7 linked regions of the Coturnix japonica genome follow. The protein of the gene in region 1 binds, or shares a complex with, the protein of each later gene. Links are inferred from orthologs where the notes say so. Each region holds a gene or a part of one and is shown on either strand. Other genes may lie near its edges. The genes, in order: HDAC1, MIDEAS, RBL1, MTA3, CHD4, MORF4L1 and SAP130.

Region 1 (2,992 bases):
TTTATTACTCTGAGCTACTTCTTGGATGACTCCACAAAGGTGATAGACAGAACCCTGACAGCAGTGGGGTTTTACCAGTAATAATTAAAAATAAGTAATGTGAGCTGCACAGAAAAGCAAAGGCACAGAAGTTGCCTGGTGTAGGTGCCAGCTAAAAAGCAAGAAAGGGTTATTTTTCTTGTTCTTAGCAGAAAGCCAATGTCTCTGGCCATGAGGCAGAAGCTGGAACATTTAAAACACTTTGTACCAAGGAGATGTGGTACTTCAGGACTGTGATACTGTGCATCTACAGTAGGGCTTTGTGTCTGCTACTCCCCCAGTGACATCCAGCAATCTTGGCTTCCTGTCACACAGTTGAGCAGTACCTACCAGTGCTGACCGCAGCGTTCTGATGTTGTTTCTTGAAGTAGCTGTGCTTTGTGATCCCAAGATTGTGCGTCCCCAGAATGTATCACTTCTGTTAATCCTTGGAGACTTGCAAAACTGCAGAAAGTTTACAAAGGAGCCGTGGGAGAGAATGTTCCTTGTCTAAATGCGTATTCAGTGACTGACCTAAATATATATTGGGTAAAACCTTTCCTTAAAGTCCATTGTTTGGCACACTGGGAATTCTGGGCTGTTTTCGTGTGTGAGCTGGGCTAGAAAGCTGTGCACTTATTTGTGCAGATCTCGTGCTCTGAGGTGTAGGTGGGGGAAGCAGCCAAAAGTGTGTGCATGCGAAACAGAGGCTGCGTTTCTCGTCCATTTCCTTTGTTTGTTTGTTGAGACATCCAGTGTTTAAGCCCTTGGGTTTGTGCCCAAAGCACACACAAACAATGATGTGATGACAAGAGACCTGTGCTTCACCCCTGAGCCTCTGCCATTGGTCCTTTGCCCTTGTGCTAACATTTTGTAATTCTTCTCCCAACAGCCAGCGCTGTGAAGCTGAACAAGCAACAGACAGATATTGCTGTGAATTGGGCAGGAGGCCTTCACCACGCTAAGAAGTCAGAGGCTTCTGGCTTCTGTTATGTCAACGATATTGTCCTGGCTATCCTGGAGCTCTTAAAGTAGGTGCAGTTCTTTGCCCTCTTCCCATTTGCTCTGATGAAATGCAGCATTTTGACTCCTTTCTGATCCTAGGTATCACCAGAGGGTCCTGTACATTGACATTGATATTCACCACGGAGATGGTGTGGAGGAAGCCTTCTATACCACAGACCGTGTGATGACTGTGTCCTTCCATAAGTATGGAGAGTACTTCCCAGGAACAGGGGACCTGCGGGTGAGAATGGAACCTTAGCAGAAAATTGCTCTGAAATGTGATCACTCTTCCATTTGCCGTCATACTGATTGTGCAGTTTGTGTGCTATGGTGACCTTGTGCTCTGTCCTGTCTTTCCCTCTAACAGGACATTGGTGCAGGCAAAGGCAAGTACTACGCTGTCAACTATCCCCTCCGGGATGGGATTGATGATGAGTCCTATGAGGCAATATTCAAGCCGGTAAGTGTGCTGAGTGATTCTTTGTGCATCATACTTTGTCACTGGGAGGCTCATGGAGCCATTCTTTAAGGAGACTCAGACTGCTGTTGTAAGATTCCTCAGTGGCTGTGTTCCTCCCTAACAATTGCAGCCTGTTATCATTTAGCTTTTCTTGGTAAGAGCCCCAGTGTTCCCAGTATATGGGAGTCAACAGCTGTGGGAACACCAGGGATGTCTTCACGTCACTTGCTGACATGGACATTACTGTGTTGCTGTGACACTGTCCTGTGGAGAAAGTGTAACAATGAGTTTCTTGTTTAGGTGATATCTAAAGTGATGGAGACATTCCAGCCTAGTGCAGTTGTCCTGCAGTGCGGGTCGGATTCACTGTCTGGGGACAGGCTGGGTTGTTTTAATCTGACCATCAAAGGTAAGAATACAGTGTTTCCATCAAAATAACAAGGCTGGGTCTGTGATGCCAAGAAGCCAGAACTGTGCAGCACAGTGCCTGAGCTAAATTGGCATAAGTAATCTTATTACTTTTCACTGAAAAATGGGTCTTTGTGCCATGGCGTTATTGCCTTTTTCCCTGCTGCCTTTGCTGCAGGTCATGCCAAGTGTGTGGAGTTTGTCAAAAGTTTTAATTTGCCTATGCTGATGCTGGGAGGAGGTGGCTACACAATCCGCAACGTGGCCAGATGCTGGACCTATGAGACTGCTGTGGCTTTGGACACTGAGATCCCAAATGGTAATTTTCCCCTGGAACTTTTGAGGCAAGACAAGAGACAATGGCTACTTACCTAGTGACAGAGCACAGGGAGGGAGTGTTGCTGCAGGGAGGCAGGAACAGCAAGATGTTTCATTAGCTCTTGGTTGTTACTGTGGAAGAGCTTTTTGAGTCTGTGGTTTGCAGTAGTTGCTCTTGTTTGCATTACAGCCTTCTAGTTTTCCCCTCCATCAAGAGATACCCAGCAGTCTTGCAAACGAGATGACCTTCTACTGCTATCTTTTGTTCACACTGATAACATTTAACTGCCAAGTGAGCTTAGACTGCCCTGTTGCTAAGCTGGCTGTTTTGATCTGAGTTTGGGCTATGAAATGGTCAACTCCTACCTCTGGGAAAGTACAGCTGTGCTCTTACTTCGCACTGAAATCTGCTGTATATGAGGGATCTCATTACTGGTCCAGAGGTGATTTGATTTTTGTTCTATTTTAACTCTTATGCAGAACTCCCATATAATGACTATTTTGAGTACTTTGGACCAGACTTTAAGCTGCACATCAGTCCCTCAAACATGACTAACCAAAATACCAACGAGTACCTTGAGAAGATCAAGTAAGTGTTTGCCCTTCTTCACATGGCTGACACCTTTTGCTGGGTAAATACAAACATGTTCCTTTCCTGGCTGGCTCTAGGCAGCGTCTCTTTGAGAATCTGCGCATGCTGCCTCATGCCCCTGGTGTCCAGATGCAGCCAATTCCTGAGGATGCTGTTCAGGAAGACAGTGGAGATGAAGAGGAAGAAGATCC
Region 2 (3,835 bases), on another chromosome or scaffold:
CTTCTTGAGAAACACGCCGTCTCCTTCGTGTACTCTGGATTACACCACCCCTAACACCCTGAAAGTCATTAGTTCTTGGAGTGTTTTCTTCTGCTGCTACTGGCTGTTTCTCTGCATCTCTGCCATTCTGAGCGATGGCATGCCTGTCCGTTTCCATCTGGCACAGTTCACTATTGGCTAGGACATCCTTCTGCCCCTGATCCATTCTCTTGGGATGTGAATAGCTACTTTTGTTATGGGTCAGTGATTCAAGTGGCTGCTGCAATGGGACTTCTTGCTGATGTGTTTGCCAGTGATGGAGAAATAAATTGCCAGATTGTTCTTCTGCCTGCTTGGAAGCTGTCACTTCTCCTGTAGATGTCATCAGGGCACCTTCTTTAGAGAGTCTCCGTGACCTTCTTGGAAAAGGAATCTGGGTCTGAGGTAGCACAGTCTGTTGGTTCTGCTCTGTTAGAGCCTTGAATAGTTCCTGGTTCCTCTCTGTTTGCTGAAACTGGTGTGCCATCATGTGATGCTGAGGTGCCGCAGCTGCCACATGAGGCTGTGCTATGGAAGTAGTTTGCTGTAGACCAAAAACTTGTGTGGCAGCCTGTTGTTGCTGCTGCTGCTGAGGATAGAAATTTTCAAACAGTTGTAGCTGGGGAAGAGCTTGCTGTTTTTGTTGAGCAGTAAATGCTGGAGTGGAAGAAGCTGGGGCTTCTTGAAAGACATGCAATAATTCAGGAAGACCTTGCTTCTGGCCTTGGTGACCAAATGCAAGCTGAAAAGGCTGTAATGGCAGACTTTGATTCTGCTGCTGCTGTTTCTGCATCTGATGAAAGGAATTCATTTGTGCTTGCTGTCTAACCAGAGCTTGCTGCTCCAGCTGAGCCTTCTGGGACATCATTTGTTGGACTGCATCTTCATACAAATCCATCTGAGACACAAATACTCCTTTCTCTTGATTTCTTTTAAGGGCTTCTGGGTGACCATAGAAGCCCGGGGCACCTGCATTGGCATGGGGTCCTTTTGGATTGCTCCCAAAAACCATACTGTGGTTCCACATTGCAGATGGAGACTGCCAGTGGGCATCGCCTCTCTCTGGCAACCTGTTTCCCATTAGTGAATTCTGCCATTTGACAGCTGTTACTGACTGGGACATCATCACTGATTCTCCCCTATCTTGACTGTAAACTGAGTTCATCAAAGCAACATTGCTGGGGGCACTTGTTAATCCTGCTGTGTGAGGAATCTCCATAGTTTGGGAGGCTGGAATATTCCCTCCGTGACCATAATACTGTCCTTCTTTAAGCTGCTGCTGCGGCTCTTTTGATGACGCAGTTATATCTTGCTCATTAAAATAATTAATTCGTTTCCCAGTCCTTTTGGTTGAAGACTTTTGCTGAGCCTGAAGATTCATGATTCAGTCTATTCTTCCAACTGCACACACCGTATTTATAATACACCCATCCCTGAGACTGGGGGAGAAAAGGCACATAAATCTCTCTTTTCCATTCAGTATTAGTAATAAGGGGCAGGAAAGAAGTCCAGATGAAAGTGCCTCCACTTCCTTTTTCTATGTGCGCTTCTCACGCTTCTTTTCACTTTTATCCTTTGTTGTTCACAGGTCAGTAGGGTCCACTTAGTTGTAGGTCCTGAAATAGAGAAGCAATTACAGTGAATCATTAACAGATAAATGGAATATAAAAACTCATGCAATAAGCAGTTATGTGCATATCTGTCCTATTTCTGACGGAAACAAAGATCTGGACAGTGTGTGTAAGAAATAATAGATATGACTTGCCAAGAGAATGTAAAACAATTTAGTTTTACAAAGTAGATATAATACATTTGCATGATGCAATACCCAATTGCACACAGGCTTCTGACTAATCAAACTCTAAATGCTTTTCTCTTAAACTCTCATCTGGACAATTAGCCAGGATAATCTGAACTCAAAAACACAAAACAAAACAAAACCTTCATGACTCACCAAAGAGAAAAATAATGTGTCAGGCCACATTTCCCAAAGACATTCAAACACACTAAGGCTGCAGCCAAACACACAGCAAGATGCTCCAGTGAATGTTTTGAAGAAAAGAATCAGGCAACAGCCCATCACCCCCTACTAACTCCCCATCATTATAGTTGCTTTCTGTCATGGTTTTGGCTGGGATAAAGTTAATTGTCTGTATGATGATGTGTTTTGGGTTTTTTGTGAAAACAGTGGTGATAGCACACTGATGTTTTACTTATGGCAGAGTAGTGCTTACACAGAGAGCCAAGGACTTCTCATGCTGACCTACACAGAGAAAGCTGGGGGAAACAGGAAGCTGGGAGGGGGCTCAGCATCAAACTGACTAGAGGGATTTTTCATATAACATGGCACTGTGCTCAACAGTAACTACTGGGGAAAAGAAAGAGGGAACATTCGCAGTGAAGTTTGTCTTCCCAATAAAGTAAAACATGCGATGAGCCCTAGTTTCCTGGGAGTGGCTGAACATCTGCCTGCAGATGGGAAGTTGTTAATGGATTCCTTGCTTTGTTTCACTTGTGCACCTGGTTTTTGCTTTATCTAGCAGATTGTCTTTATCTCAGCCTGCAAATTCTTCCACTTTTACTGTTCTGATTCTTTCCCATCCCACCTGGGGAGACTGAGCAAATAGCTGTGTGGTACTGAGCTGCCCACCAGGCAAGACAAACCACACTACTTTCCAATTCAGAACTACCTATCGGGCATCTACATGCTGCAGAAAAGGGCCTGCTCAAGCTTTAAGATGGTTTTTTTCAACAGCTGAAAGCAACTGCTCTTGCTCAGGTCACACTCGCGGCAAAGCAGTTCAGTTTTACATTTAGTGAAATTGTTAAACTGTGAACAAACAAGTAATGATAGGCAAGTCTCTGTTACTGTCTCTTCTTGATATACACTTCAAGACAGATTGTGCCAATATAATTCTGAAAGATTTGTAAGATATTTTAAGATGGATTTAAGATATTAAGACATTTATAGCATACTTTTTACCATAAAATCAAGCTTCCTTTGATGAATGAACTTAATTCTCAGGCATCAGAGGCGCAGGTACAAACAACAATTATAGCTCTGTACCCCTTCAGGGATTTTGCAAAACATTTGAGACTTTCCCACCTGAGCTCAGCTGGTCATCAGGAATTATGGGGAAAACCTTTAGTAAAGCATCACTTGTAAGTATCAACTAAATGGCCTTAAATCTCAGAGACCCGAAAGCATGAAAGAGAAACACTTTTTTTGACTGACGAAAACAGGTTTGCAAATTCCCTATTACTAAAATAATACACTTTATTCCAGAGTCACAAAGTGTTTTAGAAACAAACATGCAGTTTAGGGATCAACTGCAGGAGGCACCTCTTCTTCCTTTATATGAAAAGGCAGTTTTCCTATTTGTACTGTACGTACTGGAAGGAATTTTCAAAAAAGAACAAGGCTACTGCTCAGAAAAACTGTCCTTGAATTTCACAAATCTGCACAAAGCTGCTAAGATTAACACACACACTCCATCAAAACCTGAAATAAATCCTTTAGTCTCTCTGTATAAGATGAAAAATAATAAGAAAGAACTATACAGCACACTAAAGTTCAGTAACTTGAGTTTCCTCAAAATGGATACGGCTACAGTGCAGGTTTTATTACTATGGCAGAGTTGGTAGTGTGTCAAGGAGGAAAAGACAAAGGGTTTAAATTAACTTATGCAATTTCCACCTTGGAGGCCAGGCTTGGCTCTGGTTCTAGTGGAACCATAGGCCTGTGTTTCACAGAGCAGTGACTCACTTCCTCAGTCTGTTACATAGCTGTTCCCTCTGCTCCCTCCCCCTTCACCCT
Region 3 (4,533 bases), on another chromosome or scaffold:
GTAAATGCAGTACTCTGGAGCTGTGCTGTTACCTCTGCCCCTCGGCAGGGAGGAACCTACTGGGCAAATAGAGACATCTCCACGGAGCTTAGAAATACCTCCAGGAGCAAAACCACACAGAACAGTTTTTCCACCTGTGACCCCAACCTCCTCATTCAGAGCACTGTGTTTAGCCCATGACACACACCAGGATCCAGACAATCATGACAGCTACTCCACAAGATAACATCATCTTTAATTAAAACAGGTTATCACCTGCAATTTCCATACTGCCAAGGAAGCAAGGATTCTCCACTGACATAAGAAGCCAAAGCAGAGGGGGGCCCTACAGCACTCATCATTAGAAGGGAGAGTTCAGCTCCGCTCCTGCCAAAATGCACAGAGGAACAGACCTGAACCAACACAAGTCCTCTGCCTACCAGTGCACCTTCCTCCATACACACGGGATTTCAGTGTTCAAGACAGGACCGTCAGTATGAGCGCTATCACACATCCTTCAAATAGCAATACGAACCTTCCTATCAAACAGCTTAGAAATGTATGGCTTGAAGTAGTGCTCCTTTATTCCTTTCGCTTCCACAAGAAGCCCATCATGCAGCTCACACAGCGTGGCAATGATGCACGGGGGGTCCTCTGAGGCTTTCATCTCTAGTGCGTGGAAGTCAGCTGGTAAACCTGGGAATGGGCGAAGGGGAAAAACAAAACAACCAACCTCCATCTTTACTTAAAGAAGAATAACCAAAGGAACAAAGTGTATTTCATTTTGAATAACTGATCCCCACCCTACCTTTAAACGACGGATTTAGCAAATCTCTCCGATTTGGACACAAAATGGCATTTGCAAAAACCAGGTCCAAGCAGCACAGAAGCAGATGATAGGAATTTACTAAATCATCCCCAATCATACGGAAATTACCTTTAAGAGACAGCACATCATGTCAGGCGACGCAACAGAAGTTTGTAACTCAGAACGCATGCGAAACACGTGGCTGCAGAGCACAAGCCTACCCTTAGTGTACACAAACAGGGTCCAGCAGAAGTTGAAGAGATCCTTAACACCACACAGCACCCGCCTGTCAACGAGAGGGGTGGGAATCAGTCTCTGCTTCCAGGAAGCTGAAACATACTGCTTAGCAAGTTTCCTTCTGTTTCCATGCTCAAAGCAACAGACAGAGCCATCACCTCATGAGTGCAAACTAAGGCACACTGTAAGCTGCGGGCACACAGAGCAGCTCCTCTTACTGCAGCCTCCTGGATAGCTCTGCAGAGCTTCTGGCACAGCATCACCGACTGCTCTGAGCCAACAGCTGCCTGTGCTTGGTGCCCCAGGCACACTGCTTTGGTGATGGTGTAATTGCAACTGGAGTCTCATAGAGCTGCACGCAGAGCCATGCTGAGGGCTCTCTCAATTGCAGTGCATCTTTCTCCTAAACGTTTTACTAATGCATCACACATCCCTTCAAAACATGCAACCACAACTTGCACTGCAGCTCTTCTGGTGAATAGTCTAGGAGAAGAAATGAATGAAAACCACCTGACAGAGAAGCTAACAGTGCGGTCACGCTAATGAGAGCTGCTCTGATGAAGGAACATTAACAGTGCATGGACATTTCTCCTTGTGCAGACGCAGCAGAACTGGCTGCAGCAGCAGCAGCTCCCTTCCCATTTGTGCACAAGGAGCTACACCAGAGCGGGTTACCACAAATTAACCCCTTGCATCCAGACCAGCACGTGAAGCAGCAGAAACCCCCAGCAAAGAGCCAGCTCAGCTCCTGCTGCTGAAGGTCGTATCCTCATCAGAGCAACCAGGGACAACCACACAGTCAATGCAGAACAAGGACAAAGCCCTTGAATCTAGAAGCGCTCTGTGCATCAGGAAGACACCAGAAGCAGTTACAGTGTCACACAGATGAGCACATTGTCTGCATTTTTCTCCCACAGAAGGGCAGCGCTCACCTGGCACTCACATACGGGCAGTCACATAAAGCAGCCGCACGTTGGAGCCCCGCGGACGGAGCACCCTGAGAGGCACGGGGGGACTGACAGCCCAGCCTCAGCCACCGCCCTGCACCATCCCTGCGTTCACACTCAGTCACTTCAAAGCTCGGCCTTATTTTCTAAGCACAACAAACGTTCCCGTTACTTGTAAACCCATGCAAAGCCACACGGCGCTCTGCAGTACCTCTGCTTCCTGCTGCGCTGGGGTTTCCAGGTCTCCTCGTTGGGGTTTTGAAAGACATCCAGAAATATGGGCTCGAACTTCCTGAAGATGACGGTGGACACCTCGAAGTTCCTCTCCAGTCGCTCCACCCGCTCCCGGAACTCCTGCGGCACGTTGGCCATGTCCATCCACTTCTTCATTTTGCTAAAGAACTGAATCAGACTTAAAAGGAAAAAAAAAGAAAGAAAAGCCGACGAGGAAAGCGCCACTTTATTATCGGCTTTAACGCGCGTCCGTTCTCAGCGCCGCCCCGCGGGCCGAGCTGCGCACCTGAGCCTGGCGGAGCGCAGGATCCGGGTGAGCGACACGCCGTTCCCCTCCACGGTCCCGCAGCCCACGGTGGGCAGCACGCGGCGGCGGCACGCGGCGTACAGCGCGCAGGCCAACCAGTGCTGCGCGTCCCCCTGCAAGGCAACGCCGCGCGTGGGGCCGGGGCCGACTCGCCACGTCGCGGCCTGACGCCCGGCCTCACCGCCCACCTCCAGGCTGTAGGTGCCGCGCAGCGCCGTGAAGTCGCGCAGCGCCTCGGCCGCGCTGCCCGCGTCCAGGTTGAGCTCCCGGCACAACCGCTCCACGGCGGCGCCGAGCTCGGGCTCGAGCAGCGGCTCCGTGCGGGACATGACGGCGGCCCAACAACGGCCCGACCCGGCCCGGCCGGCACCGCGCCGAGCTGCTCTGCGCGCCAAAACCCACCACCGGAAACGGCGCGGCCGCTTCCGGCGCCGTGAGCGCCAACGGGCGGGAAACGGGAGGGGAGCGCGGGGCTGGGAGGGGCTGTGTGTGTAACGGAGGGGGAGCGGGCGGGGCGGACGGAACCAGGACGTGTCCGTGTCCGTGTCCGTGTCCGTGTCCGTGTCCGTGGGATGGCTCGTCCCTGGGCCCGTCCCATGTGCGCGCTGTGCCCGCCGCTCCGCAGAGCCGCCGTCCTCGGTCGCGGTGCGGGGCGGCCTCGTGTGTCACGGCGCTGCCCACAGCGTCACCTTGTGCCGAGCGGGGCTGCGGGGCCGGGACCGTCCGCACATGGCGCCGTGCGAGCGGCTCCTCGGGCAGCAGCTCGGGACCTCGGAGCTGCCCCAGCCCCGCACGGCTCCACGCACCGCCGGGAACTGACCCTTATCGCGTCCGTCCGCCCGAGGAACCGAACGGCGACCGCTCAGTAACGGCGCCGCCCTGAGCCGGAGCGACACCGCGAGCCGCTGCTCGGCACCTGCGGGCGTTCGCCGGGCTCCGGTGCAGGTGTCGCGGTGTCAGTGGGAGAAGGACCGTCCCGCAGAGCGGTGCTGCCCGAGCGCACCGAGCGATGCCGGCCGGTACCGCGGCCGCTCTCCGGGCTCCGCCTCCGCCCCCGGGCGCCCCGCAGCGCTCCGGGATCAGCCCGCCGTGCCTTGGGCCGCTCCGCTGCGGGAGCACGGCGGGACCTCGGCGCTGGTGCCGAGAGAAAAGCGAGGAACCGGTATCACAGTCAGGTGAATTAAACGTTCACATATATTTGCTGAAAAAAATTATATACATCTGTAGCAAGGCTCTGCCAAGTCTGAAAGATAAGCATCATCTCGTCACTAAATTAAAAAAATAAAAATCTGACCTTTAAATCTTTTTTTTGTTGGTTTTTTTTTTTGTTGGTTTTTTGTTTTTTTTTCCTTTTCTTTTTATCCACATCCAAGAGCACAGACCTTTATTTGTTAGCGCGTTTGGTGGGGATGTGTTTGTGTGGGGATCCAGGACAACCCGCGGAACGTCGGCGTTTCTTTGGGATAGGATGGAAAATGAGAAGGAGCTGCCAATGCCTCACAGCGCAAGTAATGCACAGAGCACATCGGGTTGCAAAAGGGTCACAAAGCAGTCAAAGAGAAGCCTAAACACCCAGAGACGGAGCGGACACGGCTGATAATAGAACAAGGTACAGAGCATGCCAGCTAATTAAATAAACGCCACTTACAACCCTGTTCCCTACCAGCGTAACCCTGGAGAAACCATCCCGTGCAAGAAACGGACCATGAAGAGATGTCTGCGTCCAGTCACAGTAAGGCTTGAAGATACAGCAAGTTTTATAGCATTTGTATTTTAAGGATTTAGGGCAAGTACATGTTCTTCTACTGAATAAAAAGAAAGTTAGTACTTAAAAGGTTCAAAAATATAGCAATCGTGATTTTTTTTTTTTTTTTACATAAATAAATTATATCGATTTTGGATTTAACAGCTGAGAAAACCCTTTTCTGCTTCCACTGGAGGCAAAACTGAACAAAATGTTAGTTAAATAGAGATAGCAGCATTTCTAAGAAATCTGTCGACAGTGATCCAGTATCTGTGCT
Region 4 (3,835 bases), on another chromosome or scaffold:
GCATGATTTTCAAACACACTGAAGTGTCTTCTGTTAACTTTCAAGGATTTTGTGCCATTGTTTTGAGGTTGAAACATTTGAGAGAAAATTGTCTTCAGTATAAATACTTTCATAAGTGTCCTGGCAATATGTCATGGATAACCTTCAAGTGTAGAAGGTCATTCATGCCAAGTAGTACTAACTTAAATAAACCACTTGGAGTTAAGGTAATAATAGTGCCTTCAATGCAACATGCATTTGAGTTTCTTGAAAGGAAGTCATACCTTTGAAAAATCACAGATTATCTCTATAGCAGTGTAGCTTTACTGCTACTGCTGTGTTCTTGACAGAATCTTAATGACACTTAATAAATGCCGATGCTTGGTGGACTTTCCTGTTCCACTTCCTTGTACTATTTATAAAATATCAGTTCAAGCTGATAGAGCACACAAGAAGTATTGAGTTACTTGACTTGACTCATCATGTACAGTTTCACTCACTTGTTTTCCATCTATTTTGTGATAAGGGTTAGCTACAGTGTCATACTTTTTTTTCCCCAAAATGTAATTTATATACATATTCATTGTTGTTTCTACAGATTTGTTGTCATGTGCTGAGGATTTTGAGTTTTACCAGGAAGGACAGCGTGCTGTAATTTCAAACCAATAATAAAAATAGACAGCTCTATTTTTTAATGACTTCTGTCTTCCACATTTCTACACTTTTTTTAGAGTCTTTTGTAGAACTGTGGAATAAAACACAAAGAATTTAAGATTGGATTGTGTGCAGTTTTATGACTTTGTGTACTTGAAGATAATAAAGTATTTTAATGTGTTAATTTTTCATCTAGAAACGTCTGAAAGCAGCTGAAGCGGAAAGTAAATTGAAACAAGTATACATCCCCACCTAGTGAGTACAACAATAAACTTCTTTTTTTAATAACTTATAGGTGAAACTGTAATGTGTATCAGCACACGTGATATTCCCTTCATCATTGTCCTGATACTTTTATTATTTATATACAAGCAGTATATAGCATTTTCTGATAATATTTCTACGTGTATATAAATTCTTTGTCTTTATTTCAACTCACTGACTTTGACCACTAAACTTTCTGTTCTGGAAAGTCGAGCACTTCTGTAAAAGCTGATAAAGTGCTACACGAACTGCTCACATGCAAGAAGGGTCTTGTCATTTAAAAGCGGCTTTTCTGGAGCAGTTGCTTCAGAATCTCTGTAGCTCTACCTTTAATATTTATATTTAAATATACCATTTATATTTACATTTAATATTAATATTTGTGTAAATGTAGAATTTCGAAATAGAGGCTGTTAATGTAGTTACATAAAATCAGATACTCACATTGGTTACAGTTTTATCTTCTTGATATCATCTGTTCTTGACTTAGAGACAAGATGTTCTGGCTATAAATTAAAGGTAGCACTCAGCCCAAAATCTTTTGCCTTTGATCAGTTCTTATTAATGAATGCTGTTTTCCTCAGAGATTTGTATTTTACTTCTTTAGATTTAAACTTGGTTCTATATTTGCTTTTGTTAATGTGTGGCTTATAGAACCAAGATATAATCTCTATTTCATATTTATTTTATTTTGAGGCTTTGTCTTTAGTAGCTTGCTAAACAGGCTTGACCATTATACGAAGATCTGTAAATGTGCACTGTGTGGTACTGAAGCAGCTCTTTATGAAACAACTGTGTACTGTAAATACTGGAGAAACATAAAGATTAGTCCTCTGCTAATTTGTACAGATGCTGTCACCAAACAGAATTCTGGAATTAAGTTGTTTTCATTTTTATAAGAGGGTTAGAAAATAATTTCTGAAAAATGACTTATTTTATTTTATTTTATTTTGAAGCAATAAACCAAATCCCAATCAAATATCCAACAACACTGGGAAACCTGCTACAGTCAATGGAGCAATGGGAGCCTCTTACCAGGCGCCAGCCTCAGTAATAGGGAGGGCTTGTGAAAGCTGCTATAGTAAGTAAAATTTTGTTTAATTTTGGAATTATTTAGGAGTTTGACTAATCTTAATACACATTAAACAACATCTACATACTTTTATTTGCATACTATAAGAAATAATTTTTGATCAACTGTGTGGCAGAAATAACTTCAGATTAGATCTGCCTTCAATAAATTGATTAAATGTTAATACTCTTAACATTAATCAACAATAATCCACTTATTCATTTTCTTCATCAGCAATTTAGTAAGTATGGAACAATCAAGTATTGAATGATGAAATTCTGTTACCTTCGGGCTTCTAAATCTTTACTTTTGTTTGTCCTTTAAATTTGTTTTTAAGGGTTTTGTTGCAGATTTTTGTTTATTTGTTTCATTTTTGTTTTTAATTTGCTGTTGTCAGTGTTGGGTATGAAATGATCGAGTAATTTTATTTTTTTTTAATTTTTATTTATTTATTTTTTAATTCTCTAGCATTTAGTGAATTTGTGATTGGCCCTTCTTGAAATAACAGTTTCTGATATAGTTAGTTACATACATCTGTTGTTTTTCAAGTTATATTTTTAAGGAATAATTTTCTGATAAGTTCGATTACAAAAATAAAAGACTAAATTAACGTTTCTAAATGAGACTCAACATGTATGGGGTAAAGATAGGCATGCATCTTCAAAGCTAGCAGATGTGCTTACCCTTTTCTTAAAAGGATCCTGACTTGTAAGTTCTGATTTTGTGCAACTTGGAGGTCACAGAGTGGAAACAGAGATCTTAAACATTTTCTTTATGTAACAAGTGTCCTAATTAGCCATGTTAAAGTTGAGAAGTCACAGAGAGTGAGAGTGGAGGGGTTTATTTTCTTTTTTTCCTGATTGGTTTTCTTCTGTCTTTTAAGAACCCTGGAAGAAAAGCTTATAGGGAGTCCTAAGTTGGAAAGTAAATGCAGAAATACTTCACTGTTCTCACTTTGGAGTTGACTTTGAGGTGCTTTTAGATAAGTTTCTATTTTCTTCATTTCAAATGAATTAAATATTTTTCTTGATACTGCTTTTGAGGAATGCATTACAGCATTTGAATATACTGTTCTGAATGTAGCATGCAATTTATTTGTGGTGTTCTCTCATCCTTAGCTTCACAGTCTCACCAGTGGTACTCTTGGGGTCCTCCTAATATGCAGTGTAGATTGTGTGCATCTTGTTGGATTTACTGGAAGAAATATGGTGGCCTGAAAATGCCCACGCAGACAGATGAAGATAAACTCTCTTCCAGCCAACCTGCAGAGGTAGGATTGTGTAGATAAGCCTTCCTGAAGTGAAGTTTGATGTCTTCACAACACTATTGTGGTTTGAATAATTAATGGCATGCATTTTATATATGTGTTGAACCGTGATGTTACAAAACTTATCTTATTAATCGTTTTCCTGTCTTTTGTGCAACTAAACATTGTGCTAGTCCTGACTTTTCTTTATTTGACCAATAGAAATGTGGACAAATGTCCACTTGCATTTTTGTTAGATAAATGTCATCTTGTCAAGCAATTGGTATATTAACTATAAAACATCTAGAATGGCATAATGTATGTCAATTCACAGCAGCACTCTTCAGTATGTTGCATGGCTTCATATACGTAGTCCCAGTTTATTGAATAGCACTTATACATATGAGTTTTTAACCTTGTGAATTTATTCAACTTTTGGATTATTATTATTGTTATTTAATTGACTATGAGGAAAATATCTTTTGTTCATTTTCTTCATTTGTTTGGTGGAAGCAGGCTGCTTGTTCTTTCAACTTGATGTGACAGGATCAAATAACACCAGATAATTCTTTTGTTAAACAGAATTATTTTTGGTACGGCCTGTCACTAGTAGGAAAGAT
Region 5 (4,305 bases), on another chromosome or scaffold:
GCATAGGTGTGCACAGTGCAGCCCTTTACTGCTGCCTGTCCTCTGTAGGGCTGAGAGAACCAACGCAATGCAAAGGGACAGAGGACAGGGCGGCACCTGTGTAAGGCAAGAGGTCAGAGGGCTGTGTAGGCAGGGTTGTATTAGCAGGGCTCCATAAGCACACGAAGGAACACAATGCAGTTGGGCTCCACACCGCCCAGCCCATCTGTGCTAGCGGCACAGGGTGTGCATGGAGGAACGGCTGTGTGCATGGGCAGCGCGGGATGCTGCGGCGGTGCTCCAGGGGAGGAGCCAGCAGACACTGACAGCCATTGTTCATGGGCTGAGGTGGGCAGGGCTGGGTGCCCGGCGAGCTAACGGAGGTGCCATGGGGCGAGCGGTGCCATACAGTGACCATTAACGGCACGGCGACGTGTGTGCAATTAGGGCGTACGGGCGAGGCGATGGTGCCAGGTGTAGGGCAGCAGCAGGGCGCAGAGCAGGGATGCCCCGCATTCCTTTAGGACGGGGACAGCTTTAGGGCGCTACCACGTTGTGCACCTCGCGTTACATCCCCGACGTACGGTCCAGCAGCGGCAGAGGTCACCGGGAGACCCACACTCAGTGCAGCCGGTGGCTGCTTGACCCGGGGGACCGTACCCGGTGTGAGCCGGGCGTGCGGGCTGGGACACCTGGGTGAGCTCTGAGCTCTGAGGCCATGGCGGTGCCCCCCGCGGCCATGGCGGTGCCCCCCGAGGGCCCGTCCCGCTGCGGGCGGGGCGGTGTCGGAGCCCCGCTGCGGGTATTATGGGATGGCAGGCTGGCCGGTGGCTCCCGGCGACTATTATGGGATGCCTGCCCGCGCAGGGGGAGGGGAGAACTATTATGGGATGCGTGCCCGGGGTGTGACTATTATGGGATGTGGAGGGGATCGGCTGCTTAAACCCCCAGGAGGTGTCCGTGGAGGGGGGGGTCCGGCGTGGGTATTATGGGATGCCGGAGCGAGGGGTTAGAGGTGGGGAGTATTATGGGATGCTCCCGATGGGGGGGGGGAGGGAGAGAAGGACCCGAGGGGGGATAGAGGGCGAGTATTATGGGATGCTGGGCCGGGCGGCGAGTGGGAAGTTCTGAGGGGAGAGTGAATATTATGGGATGTCTCGGCTGGGGGGGGTGTTGCCGGGGATACGGGGGCGGGGTCTGTTGCCAGGTTCACGGGGTATATTATGGGATGGAGGCGGGAGTGGGGTGGAGCCTGCTTTTTTTTTTTTTCTTTTTTTTTTTTTTTTTTTTTTTTTTTTCCCCTCTCCCCCCTTTAAGAGGCGGTGCCGGGGCCGGAGCCATTTTCCCTTCAGCAGCGGCGGTAGCGGAGCGGAGCTGCCGTCTGGAGCCGGGTGAGGATCTGGGAGGGAACGAGGGCGGGCGCGGCCTCTCCGCCGTGCCTCGCGTTGTGCCCGCCGCCCCGCGGGCTCTCCCCGGTGCCTGTTCCCCCGGCCGCTTTTCGGTCGCGGCTCGACCCGGGACCGCGGCGGCCGCGGGACGCTGCCCGCCCCGCCTCCCGGCGCGGCCCCGACGAGCGGCCGCCCCGCCGTGCCCGGCCTTACCGTGCGGCCCCGGTGTGGAGCCGGCCCCGCGGAGAGCCGGACCCCCGCCGCCCGCCGGCCGGACTTTCCCGGCCCCGCCCCGCGCCCCCGCCGAGCCGTCCCCCGCCCTGCGGCCCCGCTGCGCTCCGGGCGGGGGAGCGGCCGTGGGGCCTTTTGTGTCGGTCCCGGGGGCAGCGCGGCGGGCGGCCCGCCAAGTTGGGTCGGGAGGGCTCCGCCGCCTTGCGGGACCGCCGGCCGCCGCCCTGACGGAACGCCGGGCGGCTCAAGGAGCCCGTGGGAAGGCCGGCTCCGCTCCCCGCCTTCTCCCAGGCGAAGGTAGAAATAACCTAGGGCGCTCATTCCGGTCTGGCACCGGCTGCGGGAGGCAGGAGGATGTTCCCTATAGGACAGCTGTTTTGGCTCCCTGTGAGGAATGAGTTGCTGACTCAGTTTAACGTCTGCTGTCTTAAAGCCTGCTTCATCACAACTCTGATGTGATACCTGCTGCCAGAGTACATGTTATCTGGCGGCTCCCGGTGTAATGAAATCATTAAGCTTTTTCTCCTGAATCCTTTTGGTTGCACTATTGCTTGGGAAACCGCGTTTTGCATCTGCTATAACTTTCTCTTAATTCTTTTCAATGAAGTACTGGCTTCACCGGCAGGAAGGCAGCACTTCTGTGAGCCTGGGCCTCCCCTGGTTCAGAGGATATGGCATCGGGCATCGGATCTCCGTCGCCATGCTCGGGGGGCAGTGATGACGATGAGATGGAGATCCTGTTGAACAACGCTATCCCCCAGCATCAAGGTATTGAGGGCCTGCAGGGCAAGCGTGCGAGGTGGGGTAATGCTTTCCTTGGGCTGGATATGTGGAATAAATGCTCTGTGAAGGAATGTCCCTTCAGCTAGGAGTTAATGTATGTTTTTGATCTTTACTATTGGAATCCCAGTTCCAAGTGTGAGGCTCGTGGCTTTGTGTCAGGTGGAGCAGACTTTGTTCCGAGATACCATAGGTTGTCAGTGGGGGCTCATGCTCTGGGAAGGAGTGAGCAGTCAGTGTTATGTCTTAATTTTGACCAAAATGTCTGAGTTTCATATTCCTGGATTGGGGGAGGTGGCTGTGTATGTGAAAGGGGAGGATGTCTGGCTGTTTCATCTGGGATCTCAGGCTTGCTGCTGTCCAGAGCAAACTGCCCTGGGCTCTTGCATGACCCACTTTTTCTTTGCCACACCCAATTATTGAGGCTTCTGGTGGCTCGTTTTCTGTACTGCCTACTCACCTTTGCTTTTCTCATAGTCTTTGTACCTTACCTTGTTGCCTTGTCCCTTTTGCTTGCATCCTCATCTGCATGAGACTGGAGTTAGAGCCCTGGGTACTCTGCTGTTTTGAATGTTATTGATGCGTGCACTAAGGAAGCCATAAGCATCGGGCTTCTCTGTTTCCTTGCAAAAAGAGGTTGTATGTATTCTGATGTGTTGGCCTGTTGAGTTTTCCCACCAAGACATGCCTGTTGTAGTGTTGTAATATCAAATGAGAAAACGTTACAAGTGGAGAGGCAAAATGTTGTGGAAGGCTTGGCTTTTTTTTAGGGTATTGACTTGAGCTGCATTTGGTACCTCTTAGGTAGAGGGGAGATGGTCATTAAGCCTTGTGAGGGAAGCCTTGTTGAGGAAAACAAACTGTTAAAATCACTGCAGACCTGAAAGCTTTAGGGAAAAGCATTGGAAGGGGTGGGATACTTAAGCTCTGAATTAGCTGGAGAAGGTGTGGAATCCCCATATGAGCTGGTGTTGCAGGACTATGTGAGCAAAGACTTGCTAATTAGTTGGCACGGTGGCAGGACTGCAAGACCCCAAATTCCGAGGGCTTTACTTCTGCTCTGTCTGCCTGCTGCAGCTACCTGACCTGAGGCTGCCTCCATCCTGCCCAGCTCCTGTGGTCAGGAGGCCATTTTCCCTTGGAGGGAGAAGGAGTGACTCTGGCTGTGTGCAATGGGCGGGGCGGCAGGGGAGAGCGAATGGCTGGGCTGCTCTCTGAGCCTGCCACAAAGGAAAGGGTTGCCCGGCTCTCCCTGGGGTTGGGAGAGGTAGGGGCACAGATGGAAGGGATGGTGATGGGGAGTTGGCTGCTTGTCCCTGCGCTGGGCGCTTGCTTGCTAGCTGCTGACAAAGAGGGAAGGGGTGGAGAGAAGGCTATATCAAGTCTGGATTAGAATTGAGTTGCTAAGTAGCGGCTTACCTATGGGGAGGACAAGTAGTGGCTTGCTCGACTGTGTTATGAATGTATTTTAATGTCTGTAAGCTGTAGGGTACTCTGTTCTGGTGAAAAGAAGAACACTTTTTTTATTCTGGAGGACTGAAACGTTATCTTCAGGTCTCAAACATACTTGCTAAATGTACTTGCTGCTTTAATTCCTTTAGTTATGGTAATCTACTCTGTGCCCTTCCCTCTTCTTATTCAGTTAGAGCAAACTTCTGGTCCCTAGGAACTGCTCAGTTGGGAGAAGGAATGTTGTGGAAGTGGGCCTTGTTGGAGAGAGGGTGTATGGTAGTACCTTGCCATATGATTAACTGTAAGTGTTGTGAACAGTAACAAGGTGTAAGCAATAATAGGGTGAGCAAGCTCTTCTGTGTTTGTAAGTATGTAGCAAGAAGTAGGCAGATTCAGGGATGTCTGTGAGAAGTATGCTGGGCTGTAGTGCATAGATGGGCTTTGAGTGAGATGTCACCTCTTCCCCTCCAGAGCA
Region 6 (4,269 bases), on another chromosome or scaffold:
ACTTGCTAGCTTGCAAACACCAAGTTTGCTGCCCAGTGTTCTGAGCAGACACGCATTAGAGATGTTCAACACAAAAGATGCAACCTTAGTAATTCACCAGAACAGCTGCAGAGTGCTACTATGGGTCTTCAGTTGGTTTTGTTGGGGTCTTTTGGTGTTTCTATGCCTCGCCATAATACAGAACCATGGGGCTTAAAACTGAAGTGTACTTATGAGTGTGTTTTCCTTCCTCTTAGCTTCAGTCATTAACCCTAGATAGGTAGGGCACAGCAAGTAAGCTCCTGCAGTTCTCTGCTTTCCTGGGCAAGTCAGAACCACCTGCAGTAAAAAGCAGCCACACCTACCTTTGCTTCATAAAGGAGAGGTCCATGAAAACAAAGCACTCGTTCACCTGAAAGACAGTCACAAAAAGCCACCTTAGAATAAAAGCAATGCCAACCCTCAAAAACATGTTATCAAGTACAGCACAGAATAAATCCAACAGCAACCTAGCAGGAAACTCAGAGATACACCCAGACCTCCATCAAAGCCATAACTACAGACACAGACATGAAAATGCACTGGCTTGGTACAAACAAACTTCAGCAGGTAAAACCATTCTGCTGTAAGGGATTCCTCAGTCTTCATGACATCGCATTTTGACTCAGAGAAGGGAACCAGCTCTTGGTATGAGGTGCCTGTATCTTAAGCTGCTGACAAACAAAAGCAAGTGTTACCATCACTCCCTTCCTGGTATGAAGTGCAATTCCTGGTATTTCTAGTTCAGTGAAGAAGAATTCTGACATTACCCCAACCCACTTGTGGGACACAAGAGTGAAAGGCTTGTACAACAGCAAGAAAAATTGCTCACTTAGTGGTGTTGAGCAGGCAGAGCTCATCCTTCAGCCTCCATCCCAGCTTCTAAATGGTAAGCTCCTATTGCGCAGCTCTACTGCAGGAATTTGAGCATACTTAACAGAGGACATTGGCGTGCAGATGTTTCCTTCTTGAGAGCTGTGATGCATCACACGCTGAGAGAGAAGCTGTGTAACACACTCCAGTGTGTAGCACACAGCTACAATACACAAGGCAGAGCAGAGCCACCAGCACTGGTGCTGCATGGGCTGGAAAGGGGGACTCGACGGGATGCCCCACAGCCCCACAGCTCAGGAACAGCCGATTTGCAGGTTATGGGTTTAGAGCTGCCAACAAGTGACCCTTTTAGTCCTCTGCTAACACTTGAGGAAGCCAAAGTACATGAAGCATTTGTGCTGTGTACTAACAGCTCCCATGCCAGCACGCCCTGCTCAAACACAAAGCAGGGTAGGAATGGGGAAGTCTCAGTTCGGCTGCCCCCTCCTACAACTGTTTTACATGCAGAGTATTTATAGAAACAATAGGTTCACAAGTTGTGTGTGAAGGATGTGACACAAGTCTTGCCTTTGATGTCGAAGCCATCTTGAGAACAGATGCGAAAGCAAAGATATCAGATATATCTCCTCTAAGCAAGTCAAAGGTTGAACTCGACATCTGAGAAAGACTCAATATTCTCCATTCTCAGTGAACAGACGCAAGAACACCCAAAGAACCATTAATTCACACTTGACCAAATCTGATCTCATTTCTGAAGCCTACATGAAAAAAGTGGCAGTTCCTTCACTTTAAGGGGTATCCTTGCTTCCAATTGGACACTGGGAGCTCCAGGCTTTCACCTGTTATCACAGCAATCCAGCCTCCTTCTCACCCATTCCTTTAAGGAAGTGACATAACAGCTGCCAAACCCACCCAACACTACTGGCAGTATTTTAAGGAGAGGTTTTCAAGCTCCATGGCATTTTATCTGCCATGCTGTGATGGCCGTAATAAAACAATTGAGTTTCAGCACTTCAGGAAGCTTCATTCATGGGACACTTCTTCAATTAAATGCTGCACTGAGCTCATTCTGCTCAGCTTCCAGTTCACTACATTTTGCATTAACTCACTACAACATGAAGCTCACATTAAATCCTGATTGTCTCTGCAGGTCAGTAACGCTGCTACTGACATGTGGCACAACCGAATGTGTCCTGACATCAGCTGCCATCCAGTCGCTGTGTCAGGCCACCATGAGCAACTGCTCTGCAAAGCCAGCTGCTCAAAACAGAAGGCACAGTGAAGATGGGGCAGAGGAAAAGGGGACAAACCTTCATTACCTGTATTAGCATAAACCATTATTTTAAAACTGGGACAAACACAAAATAAGCCCCGTAAGCAGCAGACCCCTACCATTCATCCTAAAATCTCTGCTGCTCATACAGGTATGGATTCCAGCACAAGCATCGGCTGCAGAGCCCTGTGATTGTGCAAGGAGCCCTAACCCAGCTTCCCAGCAAGGGCAGCGTTACACAGAGCTCATCTCCATCCCAAGACACAGATCTAACCCATCTAGGAGATGTAACACCTGCAGGAAAACAAGCACATGGAGAATAACGGGGGAGAAGGGCACGCCCAGCTCTTACGGGCAGGAAAGCTGAGGGACAGGAAGAGAAGAGCCCATTTTTCCTCCCACTCTCCTTCTGTGCGGCAGAGGGGCAAAAGCTGAGCCCCAAACAGCGCCTGGGGGTCATAACGGGGCCCCAAACAGGCGGCAGGGCCCCATCCCCGAGCACTACAGTGTGTGCGCAGCACGGCTCCTCCAACCGCTCCCTTTGTTCCTGCTCGTCCCGCCCACAGCCGCCACCAGCTCCGCGCAGCCGTGCGCTACCAAGGCCCCACAGCGGCCTCCCACCGCCCGCGAGGGCCCGGCCTCGCTCCCTGCCGACCCCCGCCCCTTCAACGCTCACCCTCGAGCCCCCCCAGCTCCGCTCAGCCCGCCGACCCCCCCACTCACCCTCCTGGAATTTGGGTTTGGGGTCCTGCTTGGGCGCCATTTATAAGCGCGGCTCCCTCCTCCCGCCCCCTCCCCGCGGGGTCTCACCACCTCCGCCGCATCCTGCGCGGCCGGCCCCAACCCCCGCCGCACCGCGCATGCGCACTGCTCCGAGCCCTCAGCATGCCGGGATCGGTAGTGCGGGGGGCGGGGCGGCGCAACGGGACAGGCCCGAGATGGGGCCGGTTCCGTCCATCCGGTTCTGTACGTTCGGTTCCGTCCGTTGCGGTGCGGATCCGAGCGCCGTTGAGGAGCACGTGATAAAAATATAGAGAGAAGGAAAAACTTTACGCCCAACGTGGGGCTCGAACCCACGACCCTGAGATTAAGAGTCTCATGCTCTACCGACTGAGCTAGCCGGGCGCTGCCGAACTTGTTGTCCATGTGCCCTTCTCAGCTGCGCCTACGTAAACTATATCCTATATGTAACATCTGTAGTGTTCTGCTGTTGGATTTAGGCATAGAAATGCAGAGTTCTGAGCAGGAATTGCTTCGTTTGAAAAATGTCACTGGAATAATGTCATTATAAAGCCATTAAACCTGACTCACAAGTGATCTTTCCAATCCTGCTTATCTGAAACCAAACCCGTGTCTTTGCTGTTCTTTTAACATTTCAGCCTTCTGGCTTCAATAGAGCTGACTGCTGAGTTCTGATGGGTACAGGGAAGGGAAGTGCTATAATGAGCTCAGTTAGCAGCAGTCCGGAGTTAGTGAGGAAGGGACTATGATTCCCTGCCGTCTTTGTGCTCTGCCAAGGAGTTACTTAAACAAAAGGATCCAAGTGCTGTGTTTTATCGTGAAGAGAACAAAAAAACAACCCCAAAATGACAGAGATGTACAAAGGGACTCAGCCCTTGTGTTTCTAATGGGAAACAAGACAGCTGCAATGGAGCAGTAACAAAGTGCCTTTGGTTGACGTTTGTGTCGGTTTGCTGTGAAACAAGAGGCAGCTCTTTCACAGAGGAGCCAAAACCACGCGTTTTCCCGGTGGGAGGAGATGATTTAGAGCAAATGTACGTTGTTTGGCCGTTCTCACCATAGAACCCTATTGCTTTCCACTCTGCGAAGTGTTGAACGCCGTGTCCCGCTCACGGCGGCCGCGCGGGGTCACTCCCGAGCTGCTCCGGCAGTTGCGGGACAGCGGCGGGGCCGGGCCGGGAGAACAGCGGCGGCGGGGCGGCCCCGCGGGCCGGGAGACGCTCAGTGCCCGGCCCGGCCCTGCCCGCACCCATGCCGGCCCCGGGACGGCTCCTGCTCCTCGCCGCCGCTCTGGCCGCGGGCGGGCAGCGGAGCGGCGGCACCGAGCAGCCAGGTGAGCGCGGGGTGCGGGTGGGGATGAACGAGGGTGCGGAGCCGCCCGTGGCAGCTGAAGCTGGAGCCGG
Region 7 (3,835 bases), on another chromosome or scaffold:
CAGCTGCACCCATTGGCACGCAGGGGCTGCAGCCAGCGCCCATCAGCGCTCAGCAGCCACAGGCTGACACCAAGACCTCAGGTGAGTGGACTGAACCCATAACTCCTGTACAGCTCTGCCTCAAGGGGGTTCTTTAACTCTGGGTTATGACATTGTGGTGGATCAGATACATCCCCATGAATGTTCTCCTTCACTAAATAATTAGTGAATGCAATTCATTGGCTTTTTTCAGGCACTCTGGGTAGAATATATGGGTAGTGTTGGATGGGTTGTGTGTGCAGGAAAAACTTGACAGTGCAGTCATTGGTTCTCTTCAGTCCATCCTTGTGGGAAGAGCTATTTACAAGCAGATGCTCACTGAACTGTTACAGCTGTGTTGGGTCACTGCAGCAGTAAAACATGGTGAGGTGCCTCCAGTTCAGACTGTGATTAAAAGCCCTTTTTTCACAAGGAAGGGTTTGTGTGATCAGATCCCAGTGATGGACTGAAGGGAAAATGGCAGCTAGGAGCTACCATTGTGCTGGCAGATAGCACTGCGACTCCCTGCCTTGTTGTTCTGCATGTTAGTTTTCCTGGCAGGGCTTGGTGAGCAGCTCAGAATCTGAGCAGAGCTGCCAGCTCACTTACAAAGTTCAAAGTTGCCACGTGGCCTCCACCAGCAGCCCCTGTTGTGTTGCTGACCTCCCTGGCAATTTGTGTGTCTTCCATTTCTTCTGGAAGAAGTATTTCTGTAGCCAGTAGTTGTTAGGCAGGGGGTGGCTGTTATCTGCCCTGCAGGAGGCCTTGTTGGCAGATTAGTAGTAGTTATGGTGTTAGTTATAGAGTACTGGAAGCGCTGCAGCTAAATATTGGGGGAGTCAAAGGAGCAGAGACAGCATCTGTTCTGCAGACACCTGCTTTGTTGTCAGACCTCCTTCAGTAACTGCTCCTTTTTCCTCTGTTCCTCTCTCTGCTCTGCCAACATCCATCCTCCCCAGCAGTAGTACTGGCAGATGGAGCCACCATTGTAGCCAACCCTATTAGCAACACCTTCAACACTGCTTCTGCAGCAACTACAGTTGTACAGACCCACAGCCAGAGTGCCAGTGCCCCAGCACAGGGCTCTTCCCCACGCCCCAGCATCCTGCGGAAGAAACCAACCACAGATGGGTGAGTAAGATTGAAGGGGGGACGCAGAAATGGCACCTGTGTTCAATCTAGCCCAGCTACATGGCAGTATTTGATTGTGGATAGGACGTTATACAGTCAGCAAGTGGTTGCAAGTGACCTGCTGATCTGTGAAGCACAGTTTCTTCTCCTCCAGGATGGATCATAGCTGCTTCCTCCTCTCTGTAATAAGATGTCTTTTGAAAGTGACCTTTAAAGGGAAAGTGGTTTTTGTTAAGCTAAGCAAGAAAGCCTCAAATCCAAAGAGGTCAATTACTAAAATTAGAAATCCATGCTTTGCTTTCAGAGCTTTTCTTGGAAGGGTGTGTGGATGAATAGTAAGGGTGGATTGGTACCCTGCTGTGCAAACTGATTAGGGAAAGGGGAGGGAATCACTTAAAATACTTCATGTTCTCTAGCTTAATTTCAATTGCCTGAATAAAAGAGGCAGGAGAAAGCATTAGAATTAACAATCCATTTCCTCCTGATTAATGACTGAATATGTTTGGAGCTGATATGTGCTATGAGGCTAAACCGTGGTGCTTCTTTTTCATTTGGGTGGAATCCTTTAAGGCAGAGAAGTTGCAAGCTGTAAAACCAAGGCATAAATTACAGAAGCAGCTGCAGATCACCGGAGAATGTTCCCATTTGAGCGTCTGATTATTTGGAAGACAGTCTTTCTTTCAGCCTCACAGGGGACTGAAAAGTCTCTTAAATGTTTTTCTGTGTGCAGCACTGAGCTGTGTAACGTCCACGTGCAGGTCTGGAGATCCTGGAGCCAGGCTTTGGCACAGTCTGCTCCAACTAAGTAAAGCAGTTGCCCATCTTAGTGCTGTGCTGTTTAGTTCCGGATAATTTGCTCTGTCCTGAGGTTATGTGGGATGTTGGTGTGGCCAGATCTCCCTTCCCCCCCCCCCCCACATCTGGAGCCTGGCAGTCTCAATAAGATGCCTTGACTGGCAAAGTGAAAGTAAGGCTGGTATTTCTGGAGAAACCCCAAATGTGAGGGAGTCTCAGCCAGAGCAACTAATCTCTTATCTTTAAAGAAAATAAAACCTAGAGGCTTGGTTAAGAACAAGACTTTCTATAGCAGGTTGGTTAGAGTGAGTGCACACAGAGAGAGATTTGACTCCGATCCTGGATTTGGCAAGAGGGGATTGATTCCTTTCCTTTCAGTGGTGTTTATCTTTGCATCAGAGGTGGGAACTTCAGATGTGCCCTTGTCTTACAGCCTGGCAGTCCGGAAAAGCTTAATTCCACCTCAGCCACCTGAAGTAGCGAGCACACGTGTTGAGAATACGATGCGAAGCACGTCTGGATCACCAAGGCCTGCTGGGTAAGACAGGGAGAAAAGCAACTACGTCGTACTGGCTTCATTTGTGTGTCTGATTTGTGGTGTTTGGGCATTGAGGTGCTTTCTTTTGGAAAAGGTGTTTTATATTTGTCAGTGTGATGAGTTTGAATGGATGTACTTGTGTTCCGAAGCTGAGGCGATGGGCTTTTAAAGGGTACAGTTATGAGTTTGGGTGGAGGTAGTGACAAGAAAATCACCATGTTGTGTTAAAGGCCGTGCTGTAGAACTTTTCTCTATAATTCTTTGACGTTAACTCTAAAGGAAGCTGAATTCTACCTGCTTCACTTGTATCCGGTGGCTTTTGTAATTCATTGTTTTAAAACCACTAGCCCCAGAGTGTGAGCTCTCACAAAAAGGATGAGGGCAGTACAGCTTTGGGCACACGTTCTATTTGTTTGCACTGTGAAGCTGCACTGCTCCTTTTGTGAGCGTTTTGAGGCCATCTGCAGTCAGTCGTGAGATGTGCATGTGCATTAGAAGAGAACAGCACCTTAGACAAAGGGCTTAGAGAGCACAGCTGAGATGACACACACTCCTGCTACTACAGTCATTACCCAGCCAGGTGTTACTGGTACAGGAAGAAACTGACCCAAGTCCAGCTGGTCTCATTTACTTTGTGCTAGAAGGTTGTGACCGAGATGCAGTTGACATCAATTTGTTTTACTTTTCTTTCAATGTCACAGTGCCAAACCAAAACCTGAGATTCACGTGTCCATGGCCACTCCTGTCACAGTGTCTATGGAGGCTGTGTCCAACCAAGGCAGTGAGCAGCCCACCATCGCGGTTCCTCCTTCCTCCCAGCAGCCCCCCTCTGCCATTCCAACCATCATTGCCGCAGCCAGCCCCACCTCGCAGCCTGCAGCAGCTCTGTCCACCATTCCAGGAGCCGTCCCAGCTGCTCCACCGACTTCTACCACAATTGTGGCTGCTCCTGCTCCTCCAGCAACCATGAGTGGGGCCCTTTCAGCAGTGCTGGGACCTGTGGTGCCAGAGATAAAAATCAAAGAGGAGGTGGAACCTATGGACATAATGCGACCGGTATCTGGTAGGTGGTTTTTGAAGCATCAAGGTGTTTCTCTTGTTGAGAAAGTGGATAAATTAGGATTTCAACACAAGCAACCTGAAAATGGAATGACTTCTCTTTCACAGTAGCACAGAAAATAAGTCAAGGAGTTCCTTCACGCCTCACTTTCTTATAGTTCTGATCCCTGCCTACTGCTTTTCAATATAGAACAAGGGACTTGGTTTTGTGACATGACTGAGGTATGACATGCTATATGAGCACAGTATGAAGTCTTAATGGCCCAGTAAATAAAATGGAAAGCAACGATTCAG

Evidence for each region.
Region 2: the proteins of HDAC1 (region 1) and MIDEAS are in contact, whole or in part, in a cryo-EM structure (PDB 6Z2J), measured with the Homo sapiens proteins. The link is inferred for Coturnix japonica from reciprocal best matches to the Homo sapiens genes HDAC1 and MIDEAS. Residues at the interface, in NP_004955.2 of Homo sapiens: Tyr14, Gly17, Asp18, Asn21, Tyr23, Gln26, Lys31, His33, Arg36, His39, Leu43, Asn44, Tyr48, Arg49, Lys50, Met51, Glu52, Ile53, Tyr54, Arg55, Pro56, His57, Thr65, Lys66, Tyr67, His68, Pro81, Ala119, Val122, Lys126; in NP_001036783.1 of Homo sapiens: Arg722, Asn724, Gly726, Ser727, Arg728, Phe729, Gln730, Glu732, Pro734, Leu735, Met736, Arg737, Asp738, Arg739, Ala740, Leu741, Ala742, Ala743, Ala744, Asp745, His747, Lys748, Ala749, Asp750, Leu751, Val752, Trp753, Gln754, Pro755, Trp756.
Region 3: the proteins of HDAC1 (region 1) and RBL1 are in contact, whole or in part, in a crystal structure (PDB 7SME), measured with the Homo sapiens proteins. The link is inferred for Coturnix japonica from reciprocal best matches to the Homo sapiens genes HDAC1 and RBL1. Residues at the interface, in NP_004955.2 of Homo sapiens: Ile414, Ala415, Cys416, Glu418, Glu419, Phe420, Ser421, Asp422; in NP_002886.2 of Homo sapiens: Tyr849, Ile850, Lys853, Val854, Thr860, Phe861, Gln862, Met865, Lys866, Tyr879, Arg880, Asp929, Leu930, Ile931, Tyr934, Asn935, Val939, Lys943, Leu947.
Region 4: HDAC1 (region 1) and MTA3 share a complex: the UniProt entries of both Homo sapiens proteins name them as parts of the nucleosome remodeling and deacetylase (NuRD) repressor complex. The link is inferred for Coturnix japonica from reciprocal best matches to the Homo sapiens genes HDAC1 and MTA3.
Region 5: HDAC1 (region 1) and CHD4 share a complex: the UniProt entries of both Homo sapiens proteins name them as parts of the nucleosome remodeling and deacetylase (NuRD) repressor complex. The link is inferred for Coturnix japonica from reciprocal best matches to the Homo sapiens genes HDAC1 and CHD4.
Region 6: HDAC1 (region 1) and MORF4L1 share a complex: the UniProt entries of both Homo sapiens proteins name them as parts of the SIN3B complex. The link is inferred for Coturnix japonica from reciprocal best matches to the Homo sapiens genes HDAC1 and MORF4L1.
Region 7: HDAC1 (region 1) and SAP130 share a complex: the UniProt entries of both Homo sapiens proteins name them as parts of the mSin3A corepressor complex. The link is inferred for Coturnix japonica from reciprocal best matches to the Homo sapiens genes HDAC1 and SAP130.

The regions. Positions count from the first base shown.
Region 1 is NC_029538.1:4,505,256-4,508,247, reverse strand, and holds part of HDAC1 (histone deacetylase 1), read left to right. Parts: intron 1-910; coding exon 911-1,049; intron 1,050-1,122; coding exon 1,123-1,264; intron 1,265-1,390; coding exon 1,391-1,483; intron 1,484-1,783; coding exon 1,784-1,892; intron 1,893-2,069; coding exon 2,070-2,210; intron 2,211-2,689; coding exon 2,690-2,798; intron 2,799-2,878; coding exon 2,879-2,992. UniProt on the Homo sapiens protein: Histone deacetylase that catalyzes the deacetylation of lysine residues on the N-terminal part of the core histones (H2A, H2B, H3 and H4).
Region 2 is NC_029520.1:23,416,404-23,420,238, reverse strand, and holds part of MIDEAS (ELM2 and SANT domain-containing protein 1), read right to left. Parts: intron 1,635-3,835; 5' UTR 1,400-1,634; coding exon 1-1,399.
Region 3 is NC_029535.1:564,041-568,573, forward strand, and holds the start of RBL1 (retinoblastoma-like protein 1), read right to left. Parts: upstream 2,934-4,533; 5' UTR 2,842-2,933; coding exon 2,492-2,841; intron 2,384-2,491; coding exon 2,183-2,383; intron 1,074-2,182; coding exon 1,009-1,073; intron 917-1,008; coding exon 788-916; intron 676-787; coding exon 515-675; intron 1-514. UniProt on the Homo sapiens protein: Key regulator of entry into cell division. Directly involved in heterochromatin formation by maintaining overall chromatin structure and, in particular, that of constitutive heterochromatin by stabilizing histone methylation.
Region 4 is NC_029518.1:21,314,949-21,318,783, forward strand, and holds part of MTA3 (metastasis-associated protein MTA3), read left to right. Parts: intron 1-829; coding exon 830-888; intron 889-1,853; coding exon 1,854-1,978; intron 1,979-3,087; coding exon 3,088-3,239; intron 3,240-3,835. UniProt on the Homo sapiens protein: Acts as a component of the histone deacetylase NuRD complex which participates in the remodeling of chromatin.
Region 5 is NC_029516.1:69,352,041-69,356,345, reverse strand, and holds the start of CHD4 (chromodomain-helicase-DNA-binding protein 4), read left to right. Parts: upstream 1-1,278; 5' UTR 1,279-1,370; intron 1,371-2,205; 5' UTR 2,206-2,269; coding exon 2,270-2,366; intron 2,367-4,301; coding exon 4,302-4,305. UniProt on the Homo sapiens protein: ATP-dependent chromatin-remodeling factor that binds and distorts nucleosomal DNA. Acts as a component of the histone deacetylase NuRD complex which participates in the remodeling of chromatin.
Region 6 is NC_029525.1:17,848,161-17,852,429, forward strand, and holds the start of MORF4L1 (mortality factor 4-like protein 1), read right to left. Parts: upstream 2,989-4,269; 5' UTR 2,889-2,988; coding exon 2,849-2,888; intron 392-2,848; coding exon 345-391; intron 1-344. Other genes in the region: ADAMTS7 (A disintegrin and metalloproteinase with thrombospondin motifs 7), read left to right, coding at 4,118-4,199. UniProt on the Homo sapiens protein: Component of the NuA4 histone acetyltransferase (HAT) complex which is involved in transcriptional activation of select genes principally by acetylation of nucleosomal histones H4 and H2A.
Region 7 is NC_029524.1:1,640,125-1,643,959, forward strand, and holds part of SAP130 (histone deacetylase complex subunit SAP130), read left to right. Parts: coding exon 1-81; intron 82-977; coding exon 978-1,149; intron 1,150-2,377; coding exon 2,378-2,482; intron 2,483-3,183; coding exon 3,184-3,545; intron 3,546-3,835. UniProt on the Homo sapiens protein: Acts as a transcriptional repressor. May function in the assembly and/or enzymatic activity of the mSin3A corepressor complex or in mediating interactions between the complex and other regulatory complexes.